2 linked regions of the Caenorhabditis elegans genome follow. The protein of the gene in region 1 interacts with the protein of each later gene in a pairwise test. Each region holds a gene or a part of one and is shown in the gene's direction. Other genes may lie near its edges. The genes, in order: arf-6 and efa-6.

Region 1 (5,326 bases):
TAGATTTTTGGGCTAAAATACACCAAAAATCTAGATTTTTCTAGTTTTTTGGGTTAAAATACATAAAAATCTGGATTTTTAGCTGTTTTTAGAGTAAAAAAGACAACAAACTGGATTTTTTGCAGTTATTAGGGTAAAATGACCTGAAAATTTGAATTTTTGGCATTTTTTGGGGTAAAAAAGACTAAAAAACTAGATTTTTGGGCTAAAATACACCAAAAATCTAGATTTTTCTAGTTTTTTGGGTTAAAATACATAAAAATCTGGATTTTTAGCTGTTTTTAGAGTAAAAAAGACAACAAACTGGATTTTTTGCAGTTACTAGGGTAAAATGACCTGAGAATTTGGATTTTTGGCATTTTTTGGGGTAAAACAGACTAAAAAACCAGATTTTTGGGCTAAAATACACCAAAAATCTAGATTTTTAGCTGTTTTTAGAGTAAAAAAGACAACAAACTGGATTTTTTGCTGTTATTAGGGTAAAATTACCTGAAAATTTGGATTTTTGGGATTTTTTGGGGTAAAAAAGACTAAAAAACTAGATTTTTTTTGGGCTAAAATACATAAAAATCTGGATTTTTACGATTTTTTTAAAGTAAAAAAGTCCAAAAATTTTGATTTTTTCCATTTTTTAAGGTTAAAATATCGAAAAAAATAGATTTTTTTTTGTTTTTTGGGTAAAAACACCTCAAAATCTGGATTTTTTGAATATTTTAAAATAGAAAACCTTTTTTTATCGATTTTTTCAATAAAAAATTGGGCAAATTTGTGATTTTAAAGTTGAAAAATTGATTTTTCTTCATTTTTTTCATTTTTTCAGTGAAAAAGGAATGAATTTATGAATTTTCGAGTCAAAAACTGTAGAAAAATCGATTTTTCAGCTACTTTATTGAGCTTTGCTCTAAAAAATGAAGATTTTTCACTTTTTTTTCAAGCAAAATGGTCAGAAAATGTAGTTTTTTGGCTTGAAAAGGGTTATTTTTACACATTTTTGACCCATTTTATCGATTATTAAGGTCAAAACAAGCAATTTTGACAAAAAATCAAGAAAAAAACGCAATTTTTTCGGCTTTTTCTTGATTTTTGTCCAAAAAATTCGGTTTTTTCGCTGAAAAACTCGCTTTTCCACGTAGAAACTCGATTTTTGGCCATTTTTCTTCATTTTTATCTATTTAAATCCGCTTTTCCATCGTTTACCTTAATAAAAACCAGCGAAACAAATGTACAAAGAAAAATGTGCTCGGTAGCAGTGATTAGCATAGCCGAAAAGTCGACACGCATCACAATTTCGTTTCTGAAATGTCAAATTTCTTTATTTTTTCCACATTTTTCCAGCTTTTTCCAGCTTTTCCCACCTCGACGGTGGTTTTGAGCAAAAAGAGCAAATTCCGACGATGGCTCCGACGAAAACTAGGAGATTACAGGCCCATAGCGGCGCAAAAACGAATGCGTAGCTGGAAAAATCGATTTTTTCGGGAAATTTCTGATATTTTGAGGATTTCCAACCTAAATGAGACTTTTCCATCGAGTTTTAACGTGAATAATGCCGTGAAAATTAGCAGACAAGCGCAGAGAATTACTTTTCTGGAAAAAATTCAGGGTTTCTAGGTGAATTAGCTCGAAAAATAGACTTACGATGCGTTAAACGATCGGAAAAAGACTCCCAGACTTAATTCCACCATTTTTTGTTCAATTTTTAGCAATTTTTCATGATTTTTTCACTGAAAATCTGAAAAAATTGAATAAATCAATAATAAATTCGATTTATTCCACGAAAAATAAAACACGAAAACAATAAATCCCGTGCGCACCACTTGCAAATAGCACGCGCGCCGCTTGCAAAACTGGGCGGAGCCACGCGGAAATTGATTTTTTCTTCCTTTTTCCGCCGTTTTAAAGCGAATTTTCGCGAAAAATGACTCATTTTTGTTGATTTTTCAAGTTTTTTACTCAAAAATCGCACTAATTTCGGTATTTTTTGCCTAAAAATCACATTTTTAGATCGAAAAATGGGTAAATTCCTGTCGAAAATCTTTGGCAAAAAGGAGCTCCGGATATTAATGCTCGGACTCGATGCGGCGGGTAAAACCAGTGAGTTTTTGGCGGAAATTTCGATTTTTACGGCTAGAAATATGGAAAAAATCGATTTTTTTTCCAGCAATTCTGTACAAACTGAAGCTCGGGCAATCAGTGACCACAATTCCGACGGTGGGCTTCAATGTGGAGACTGTCACGTATAAAAATATCAAATTCAACGTTTGGGTGAGTTTTCCGCCCCAAAAACCCTGGATTTTGGCCTAAAAACCCCAGATTTTGGCCTAAAAACCCCCAAAAACCCCAATTTTTCTTCAGGACGTCGGCGGACAGGACAAAATTCGACCCCTCTGGCGACATTATTACACAGGAACTCAGGCGCTCATTTTTGTGATGGACGCCGCTGATAGAGACAGGTTTTTAGGCGAAAAATGCGGAAAAATTGGTTTTTTTCCTGGACAAAATCGATTTTTTCAACGGAAAAATTCGGAATTTTCAGAGTCGACGAGGCGCGAATGGAGCTTCACCGAATAATTAATGATCGGGAAATGAAGGAGGCGATTATTTTGGTTTTTGCCAATAAACAGGATCTTGCCGATGGTTTGTGGCTTTTTTGGCGGAAAATTTGAGCGAAATGAGCGATGCTACACCTAAAACTCGGAAAAAATCGATTTTCAGCTCAAAAATGAGCGATTTTACCCCGAAAAACTCGGAAAAAATCGATTTTTAACCTAAAAACTCGAATTTTCAGCTTTTTTTGCTTAAAAATGCCCGATTTTACTGAAAAAATGGATTTACTCACTAAAAATGCAATTTTCAGCGATGAAACCACACGAAATTCAGGATAAATTGGGATTGACGAGGATTCGAGACAGGAATTGGTAAGAAACATCAAAAACTCGAGGAAAAACTGATTTTTCTGCAAAAATACATCAAAAAACACCCATTTTCTCTCGGAAAATGGGTAGAAAATGCAGATTTTGGTGTAAAAATCAAATTTTTCCGATTATTTCTCACTAAAAATCTCGTTTTTATGCAAAAAATACAATTTTTTTAAATTTTCTCGGAGAAAAAGCATAAAATAGCGATTTTCGCTTAAAATTCCCTCAGTTTCTTCTAAAAAACCTCCAGAAACGAAATTTTTCTTCTTTTTTTTTAACGGAAAACTCTAAAAATTCGCCTTTTTTTCGGTTTTTTCACCAAATAATTCAGATTTTAAGGCATTTTCATCAGTTTTCGCACTAAAAATCCAATTTTCCACCTGACAACGCTCAAAATTAGAAAATTTATCGTTTTAGAGCCATTTTCCATCAAAAAATGCAGTTTTTCAGCATTTTTTCAGTAAAAATTCAATTTTTTCATCAAAGTGCTTGAAAATCGAAAATTTTCCGTTTTTAACCGATTTTCTAACAAAAATTCATATTTTCAACATTTTTTTTTCATTAAAAATTCAATTTTTCCCTTAAAAAACGCCCAAAACTCGTTTTGCCGGCTTTTCCCGTTTTTTCACAAAAAAAAAACCATTTTTCCATTACAAAGTGCTTGAAATTCGAAAATTCTCCGATTTTCGACCAAAAATTCCAGATTTTCAGCTATTTTAAGCCAATTTTTACTCAAAAACTCATATTTTCCACCTGAAAACGCTCAAAATTCAAAAAAAGTTCCTTTTTTTAACCGATTTTCTACAAAAAAAAAGCAGTTTTTCAACAATTTTTCACTAAAAACCCATTTTTCCTTTAAAAAAAATGTTCCAAACTCGAAAATTGTCGGTTTTTGGCCAATTTTCCCAAAAAAAATCGAATTTTTGCAGATTTTCAGCTATTTTCATCCGTTTTTCACGGAAAATCCAATTTTCTCATCAAAAAGTGCTTGAAATTCGAAAATTTCCGTTTTTACACCGATTGTGCACCTAAAATTCCGGATTTTACGGCATTTTCATCAGTTTTTGCACTAAAAAACCCATATTTTCCACCTGAAAACGCTCAAAATTCGAAAAATGTCGATTTTAAACCGATTTTCACCTAAAATTCCGGATTTTCAGCAATTTTTCCACTAAAAAAACCCATTTTTCCTTAAAAAAAAACGCTCCAAACTCGAAAATTGTCGGTTTTAGGCCAATTTTTCACCGAAAAAATTGATTTTTTTCAGATTTTCAATCAAAAACCTTCATTTTTCACCTAAAAATCCACGGATTTTCACCCATAATTTCCAATTAATTTCTTTGCAGGTACGTCCAACCATCATGTGCTTCAACCGGAGACGGCCTACACGAAGGCCTGACGTGGCTAAGCCAGAATTGCAAGCCGTAAAACACATTATCTGAAGAATTTGGAATAAAAAATTCGCGTCTTGCCAAATATTAACAGTATTTTTTTCACTTTTTATCTGCAATTTTTTCTGTTTTAAATTTTTTTTTAATTCAAAAAAAAAAAAATTTTTTTTTCAAAAAATTTTCAATCCCTTAAATTTTAACATTGTGTGTGCCATGCTTATTCCTATTTTCCCTCTCTTTAATTCACAGAAAATACTCGAAAAAAATGCTCAAAATGCTCCCCAAAAAAATAAATTTCCAAAATTTCCCCCCCCCCCCCCCCCCTAGGTGCCCAATTTTCACTTATTTCCCCACTGTTTTTCCCGAGTTCCCCCCCCCCCCCCGAAAAAAAACACTAAAATCACTGCTTTTCTCCCCAATTTTTGCTCCATGACCGAGGTTTTTCTCGGCCGCGGCGACCTCCAATTTTCTCCAAATATATTCGCTGCCATTATCTGTGATTTTATCGTTTTTTATGGAGAAAAATATATTTAAAAAATCGATTTTTTGGCCAATTTTATAGTTGATTTTCTTTAGGACGAAATATTTTTTGCTGCCAGATTTTCAGATTTTTAGGCCAAAAATTTAAATTTAATATTTCAGATGTCCCGAGTGGTTCTCAACGTGGATAGTTATGAGGGAAATGGTAGGCGCCTACGCCTATAGGCTGAAAATTTCTGAAAAATTGGCATTTTTGGCTGAAAAATTCGAAAAAAAAACGACCAAAAATGGTTGGAATCTGAAATCCACCATTAAAGGGGCGGAGCTTAGCCGGACAATTTTTTAGGGAACGCATATCGCCGGGAATCGAATCTATGTACAATTTCTACAAAAAGCCAATAAATGGGCGGAGCAATGCCACGCCCATTTTCCCGGGGCTCGCAACGAATTTGTTTCCGTAGATCGTGTTCTTCCAAAAAAAAAATCTTCCAGAAATTGAAGCCCCGCCCACAAAATGGCAGGTTCACGATCTACCAAGAA
Region 2 (5,298 bases), 4.3 Mb from region 1:
CAGCTCTCAAGTGTCTGGGAATTCATATGGAGCCGGCAAATTCCAAAGTTTTGGTCGTTATTTTCAGAAAAATGACCAAAAAACTCTCCATTTCAAAAGTAAACAGTCTAAAAAGTTTGAATCATTTCGCACACTTCGAGGCAATGTTTCTTCTTCATTCAAATTCCATCGGCAAGTTTCATAAAACTCGGAGGAAAACCTATAAAATGAATATTCTCTGAAAACGTGGTTCATCTGTTTGTATGATGGAGAGGCGGAGATGAAGCTGAAATGTCATAAACGTTCGCCGTTTTGTGTGCACACCTGTTAGTTCGACATTTTCTATCGAAAACTTTGCATTCGTGGTTGGTGTTGGCATCAAGTGGATTAGCCTATTAGGGTCAAGAGAAGAGGATCTCGCCAATTTTATCGAGTTTTATATTGCCAGTTGTTTCGTTGTGTGTCTCCTCGCCTTTCGATTTTACACAAAATCGCTAGTTTTACAGAAAACATTCTGAAACAATAGGTGTAGACCAAATTGTTTCGTACTCCGTAGTTTTCTAAGTCCATTCATCTTTCTGCGAGGGACCAATTATCCAATGGAGATTCTTCTTCGCCTTCGAGTTGTAATACTCGTTCCGTTGTACTTTCGTTTTTGCCGACGAGAGCACGTGATGGCTCATTTCGGTTTGATCTACGTAGATCTTTAAAAAATGCGGGAGAAGAGTCACATTTTTTGGGCAAAATTGCAGCATTATTTGTAGATCAAACCTTAATCGGAAAGCCTCGCACCACATACGAGAGCTAAAAATTGCTTTAGCTTGGCTTTATATCGAAATTGGTTTAGCGTCATCTATCTTGGAAAGTTTTCAGTATAGCTCGATTTTTCTGAAATCGAAATTGTCGAAAACTTTGAAAAAATCGTTGATCGCTATAATTGCTGATTCCTGTGCAAATTTCGATAGCTTTAATGCAACAAACTCGCATAAATAAGTTTTTCGTTCCAAATTCCACAAAGTATCGCTTTTCCGACCTTCCCACGTTTTGGAACGTCAAGAACCTTCTTGGAGCTTCTAGTTTCATACAATTCAGCTCCAAATCACGCTAATCTTCCGTAGAAACTTTATGATACGGGGGTGAGGTGTGAAAACCCTCCTTACCGCCTAATCACTTTCTCTGGGGTGCGTCGTTCTGGAGACAATATTTGTTAACTGACTGATCAGTGTGCGCGGCGGAAATATGTGTTCCATCCTTCCGCGCAACTGTCAGCTTTTCGCGAGATTGCTCAAAACGCACCTTCGGGAGTCGACCAGTTGTTGTCTTCTGCACAGCGGGGAGGAATGGACGTTTAGTTCCACACCAGGTCTCTCTCTCTCTCTCTCTCTCTCTCTGTCTCTCTCTGTCTATCTCGAATTTTATTATACAACACTACAATCTGATGGGCAAACAGGGAGGTGATGGAAGAGGAGGAGGAGGAGACGAATGAGGTGTGACGTCGTCCCGGTGGTAACAGCTGTGCAGAGTTTTATGATTTTGTTGAAAAGATTTGTACTTTTTCGAATTGAGTGTAAGAATCTAGATAATTCGGAAAAATTTGCTTTTCCAGAAAGCGATTTTATCGCAATTTCTAAAAATCTTTTACTGTCAGCACAAACTTTCAAACTTCGTAATCTTTGAGACTGTCGATTTACGCAGCTCGTGTACTCCGTGAGAAGAAGTGTGCATTTATTTTTTTATAGTTTTGATCTAAAATTCTCGATTTTTGGTGTTTTTTCGCAAAGCATCTTGTATCAATTTCTCTCTTATTCATGCTCAATGCTAAAAAACTTAAATAAACACCATTTTAGTTTATAAAATATTTACATTAAAAAATAAGGAAATTTGAAAAAAAAATACACAAAAAATTAGCGAAAGTGGCCCAAAATTAAGCATTTTAGCCCGAAAAGTTGTGAATTTCTTATAAAAAAATCAAATTCTCCTCCAAATTTTTATTTTTTAATGCTAAAATCAAAAGGGAACTTTTCGAATAAATTTACGGTGCTGAAGTGTTTTTTTGTTGCTTCCGCTTGTGAATATTTTGAAAATAAACTCACCTCCATCACGTGTTTATATAAACACTCTGATGGTCATTGTTGAATTCGTCATCGAAATATTATACCTCTTGACACCTTTTCTATACTTTTTCAAACGTTTTTTATTCTACAATCATCTCGTTTTCAGAGTGATGGCGAAGGTGGCGTCGTCGGGAGCCGAAGAGGCACTGGCCACCATTGATGGAGCCCCTCGCCGGAATGTCAAAAAGTCCGAGGCTTTTGTAATGTCCGGTGATGTGCTCATTTCTCTTAATCGGAACGTTTCGAGCACTTATGCAAAGGTTTGGATTTGATTTTTAGAAAAAATTAAAAATTTCAAATGTTTTTCTTCCAAAAAATAGCAAAAATTTTGGTTTTTGGAAAATGTATACAGTTGAACTTTTCTCATTTTTCCAGCTCTCGGTCATTAAAATGTTCCAAAGACCTTTTTGAAGAATTAAAAAAAAAACTATTTTTCAATATATTTTTTTTCTGAAATAATGCTCTGCGATTTGAGGCCTCAAACTGAAATTTCTTTTCAAAATTTTTTTTAAAAATTTTTTAGGCATAAAAGTTGTGGTTTTCCAATAAATTTAAAATGCCCTCATCTTTTCATCCCTCCCTCCTGAGTGAAAAAAAGTGTTTCTTCTTAACCTTTTCCCTTCTTTTTTCAGCTTCTCGGCGACCAACTGCCTCCAGGTACCACAGTTGCATCGAGCATTCACCCACATCAGCTGTCAAGAGCCACCGCCTCTGCGGGAGTTTCGTTTCCATCGATGAATCGAAACGGAGCGGCGGCCCAGAAACTGTCAAGACTTCCAGGTAACACTTTACGGCTTTTGCGAAAAAAATGTGAGAAATTCTCCAAAAAAAGCTGAGATTTCCGTAAAAATCGCTTGAAATTTTGCAAAATTAAAAAAAAAAGCATTTTATACTCAAATTGGCTTAAAAGTTATATATAATGTGCCCGAAGTTCCAGTTCCGACGAAAAATACAAAAAAAATTGTGAAAAATTTTTCTGAAAGCTTAAAAAAGGTGCAAGTGTCAGCAGAACAGCTTACCTGAAAACTTTATATTTAATTTCTGAAAAAATTCTCTGAAAACTCTGAAAACTATAAAAAAAAAGCTGAAAATTTGGAATATTCGGCTCAATTTATAGAAATCACTTGAATATTAGCTCTAAAAAATTAGAAAAAACTGTTTTCCATAATTTTCTATCTTTTAATTCCAATGTTCTAAAAGTTCCAGTTTCAACAAGCCAAATCGAAAGACGTGGTAGTTTGGCACGAAAAACGTCAGAAGAGTCTTCACCAACAGCTATTCGAATGCTTAAAACAGCTCCAATTGAACGAATGGAGAGCACTGATGTAGAGGAAAGTGAAGAAGAAACTGTAATGATGACTACTGATGAAAAAGAGAATCAGAAGAAACCAAATGAAAATGATGATGAAGTGATGGTTGTTGATGAAGAACAATTTATTGGTGAGCTTTTGAAATTTTTAAACGAAAAAAAAATGAAACATCTGGATTTAATTGGATGCAAAAAGTTTTCGAAAAGAAGAAGAAGAAATCTCACAATTTTTACGATTTTCCATTGATTTTTAACCCTTTTTTCTAAACAGAAAAATTGTTTTTATAAAATTTCTAGAAATTAAAACATACCGATAAAAACATATGGCTAATTTTTTTCAAAAAAAAGAAACGCTCACGATCTTGATGACTAATTGCATGTTTTTGTCCTGATAAATCAGAATGTTTGCAATTTGTTTTGCAATTTTCTTACCAAGTTTTTAGTCCTTAAAACACGGACAATTGAAATTTTTTTCAAATTAAAGTGTTTTAAAATCGAAACAACTGATTTTTCCATATTTTTGGATTAAAACTTGAGGTTTTATAATTCAAACAATATATTTTCCAATTTATGGTTTTTTTTTCAATAAAAGTGTTTTTTAAAAAAATAATTGCTAACCTAAATCAACAAACTAGATCACCAAAATATACAAAAAATGAAAAAAAAACTGATTCCCTGCCTCTGACACTGAAAAGTTTTGCGAAATTCTAAACTTAAGCAATATTTAGCCCTTTTTTGGAAATTTCCGCCCCCAAAAAACTGAAATTTTGAAAAATCTCCTTATGATGTTCGGCCGTTTCTAGCCATTTTCAGTCTACTTAAGTATGAAAGCCAAAAAATCGGAAAATTCTTTTAAGTCCCTCTACTCTTTAGAATAGCTTCGAATTGCACAAAATTCGAAGAAAAACCCGAAACAAATTTCATTTCTAGAATGCTTTCCCGGAGGCGATCGGCACAGTTATAATAGGGAATGTTTTCTGTCTCTCTATCTATCCTTTTTCCACCGCCACCACATTTTTTTCTATCAATTTCCATTCACACATTTTTATTTGCGTTAGCACCCTCCTCCTCAGGCCACCCGGTAGTACTGTGTTTTTCTGTTGTGTTGAATGTTCTCTCACTTGACTGCACACTAACATTTTTATCCGTTTAGAGGTTGTTTAGCACTCATTTAAGAGGGTTTTAGGTTGAAACTTGGGGTTTTTGCTTGAAATTTGAGATCTTTATGGAAAAAATCGAGCTATAAAGTGCTAGAAAACTTAAAATAGAAATTTAAAGATTTTATAAACATTTAATTTTAAATTTTAACCAACGAAAAGTTGCTGAAAAATAAGCTGAAAAACGCTAACAAAATAAATTTAGTTTTTGAAATTTGAATATTTAAGAAAAATCTAGATTTCTGTTAGAAAATATTGCTCTCTTATTTTGAAAAAAATCAGTTTTCCTGCCGATTTTTTTCAAAAAATTATAAAATACATTTTCCAAGAACACATCAACGTATTTAATTTAAATATTATTTAAAATGGCATAAATTTCGCACTTTTCACATTGAAAACTTTTTTGTTCAGTAGTATCAAACGACATGAAATCTCCGAACGAGGAGATCGTTGCAAAAAGTCTTCGTAGTGCAATGTTCACAATGCCAACTGATAATCATCATCATTCGTACAATTCGTCACCACAAATATCCACACTTTCACCACATCTTCGATCGAATGGAGGTAACCTTTTTTGCTGGATTTTTTTTAGAAAAAATGAAATTGTGTGTGCTTTTTTTTTCAAATTTTACACTAAAAGCTACCGAAAAATGTTATTACTTTTCTACGGAAATATTTATTGAAAACCAATAGAATCACTTTCCAAAAATATCACAAAAAGTTTTGATTAAAAAAAAAA

The links.
Region 2: the proteins of arf-6 (region 1) and efa-6 interact in a two-hybrid assay, tested with the Caenorhabditis elegans proteins (one study listed by BioGRID).

Annotation. Positions count from the first base shown.
Region 1 is NC_003282.8:16,945,119-16,950,444, forward strand, and holds arf-6 (ADP-ribosylation factor 6), read left to right. Parts: upstream 1-2,001; 5' UTR 2,002-2,009; coding exon 2,010-2,091; intron 2,092-2,158; coding exon 2,159-2,262; intron 2,263-2,352; coding exon 2,353-2,450; intron 2,451-2,533; coding exon 2,534-2,634; intron 2,635-2,854; coding exon 2,855-2,915; intron 2,916-4,261; coding exon 4,262-4,343; 3' UTR 4,344-4,616; downstream 4,617-5,326. Other genes in the region: Y116A8C.9 (Transmembrane protein 185B), read right to left, coding at 1,198-1,294, 1,356-1,454, 1,507-1,584, 1,636-1,682; rad-54.B (DNA repair and recombination protein RAD54-like), read left to right, coding at 4,949-4,991.
Region 2 is NC_003282.8:12,611,625-12,616,922, reverse strand, and holds the start of efa-6 (Exchange factor for Arf-6), read left to right. Parts: upstream 1-2,198; 5' UTR 2,199-2,203; coding exon 2,204-2,353; intron 2,354-2,725; coding exon 2,726-2,873; intron 2,874-3,293; coding exon 3,294-3,533; intron 3,534-4,970; coding exon 4,971-5,123; intron 5,124-5,298. UniProt on the Caenorhabditis elegans protein: Guanine nucleotide exchange factor for arf-6. Involved in response to injury in mechanosensory neurons. Inhibits axon regrowth via microtubule dynamics, possibly by inducing axonal microtubule catastrophes.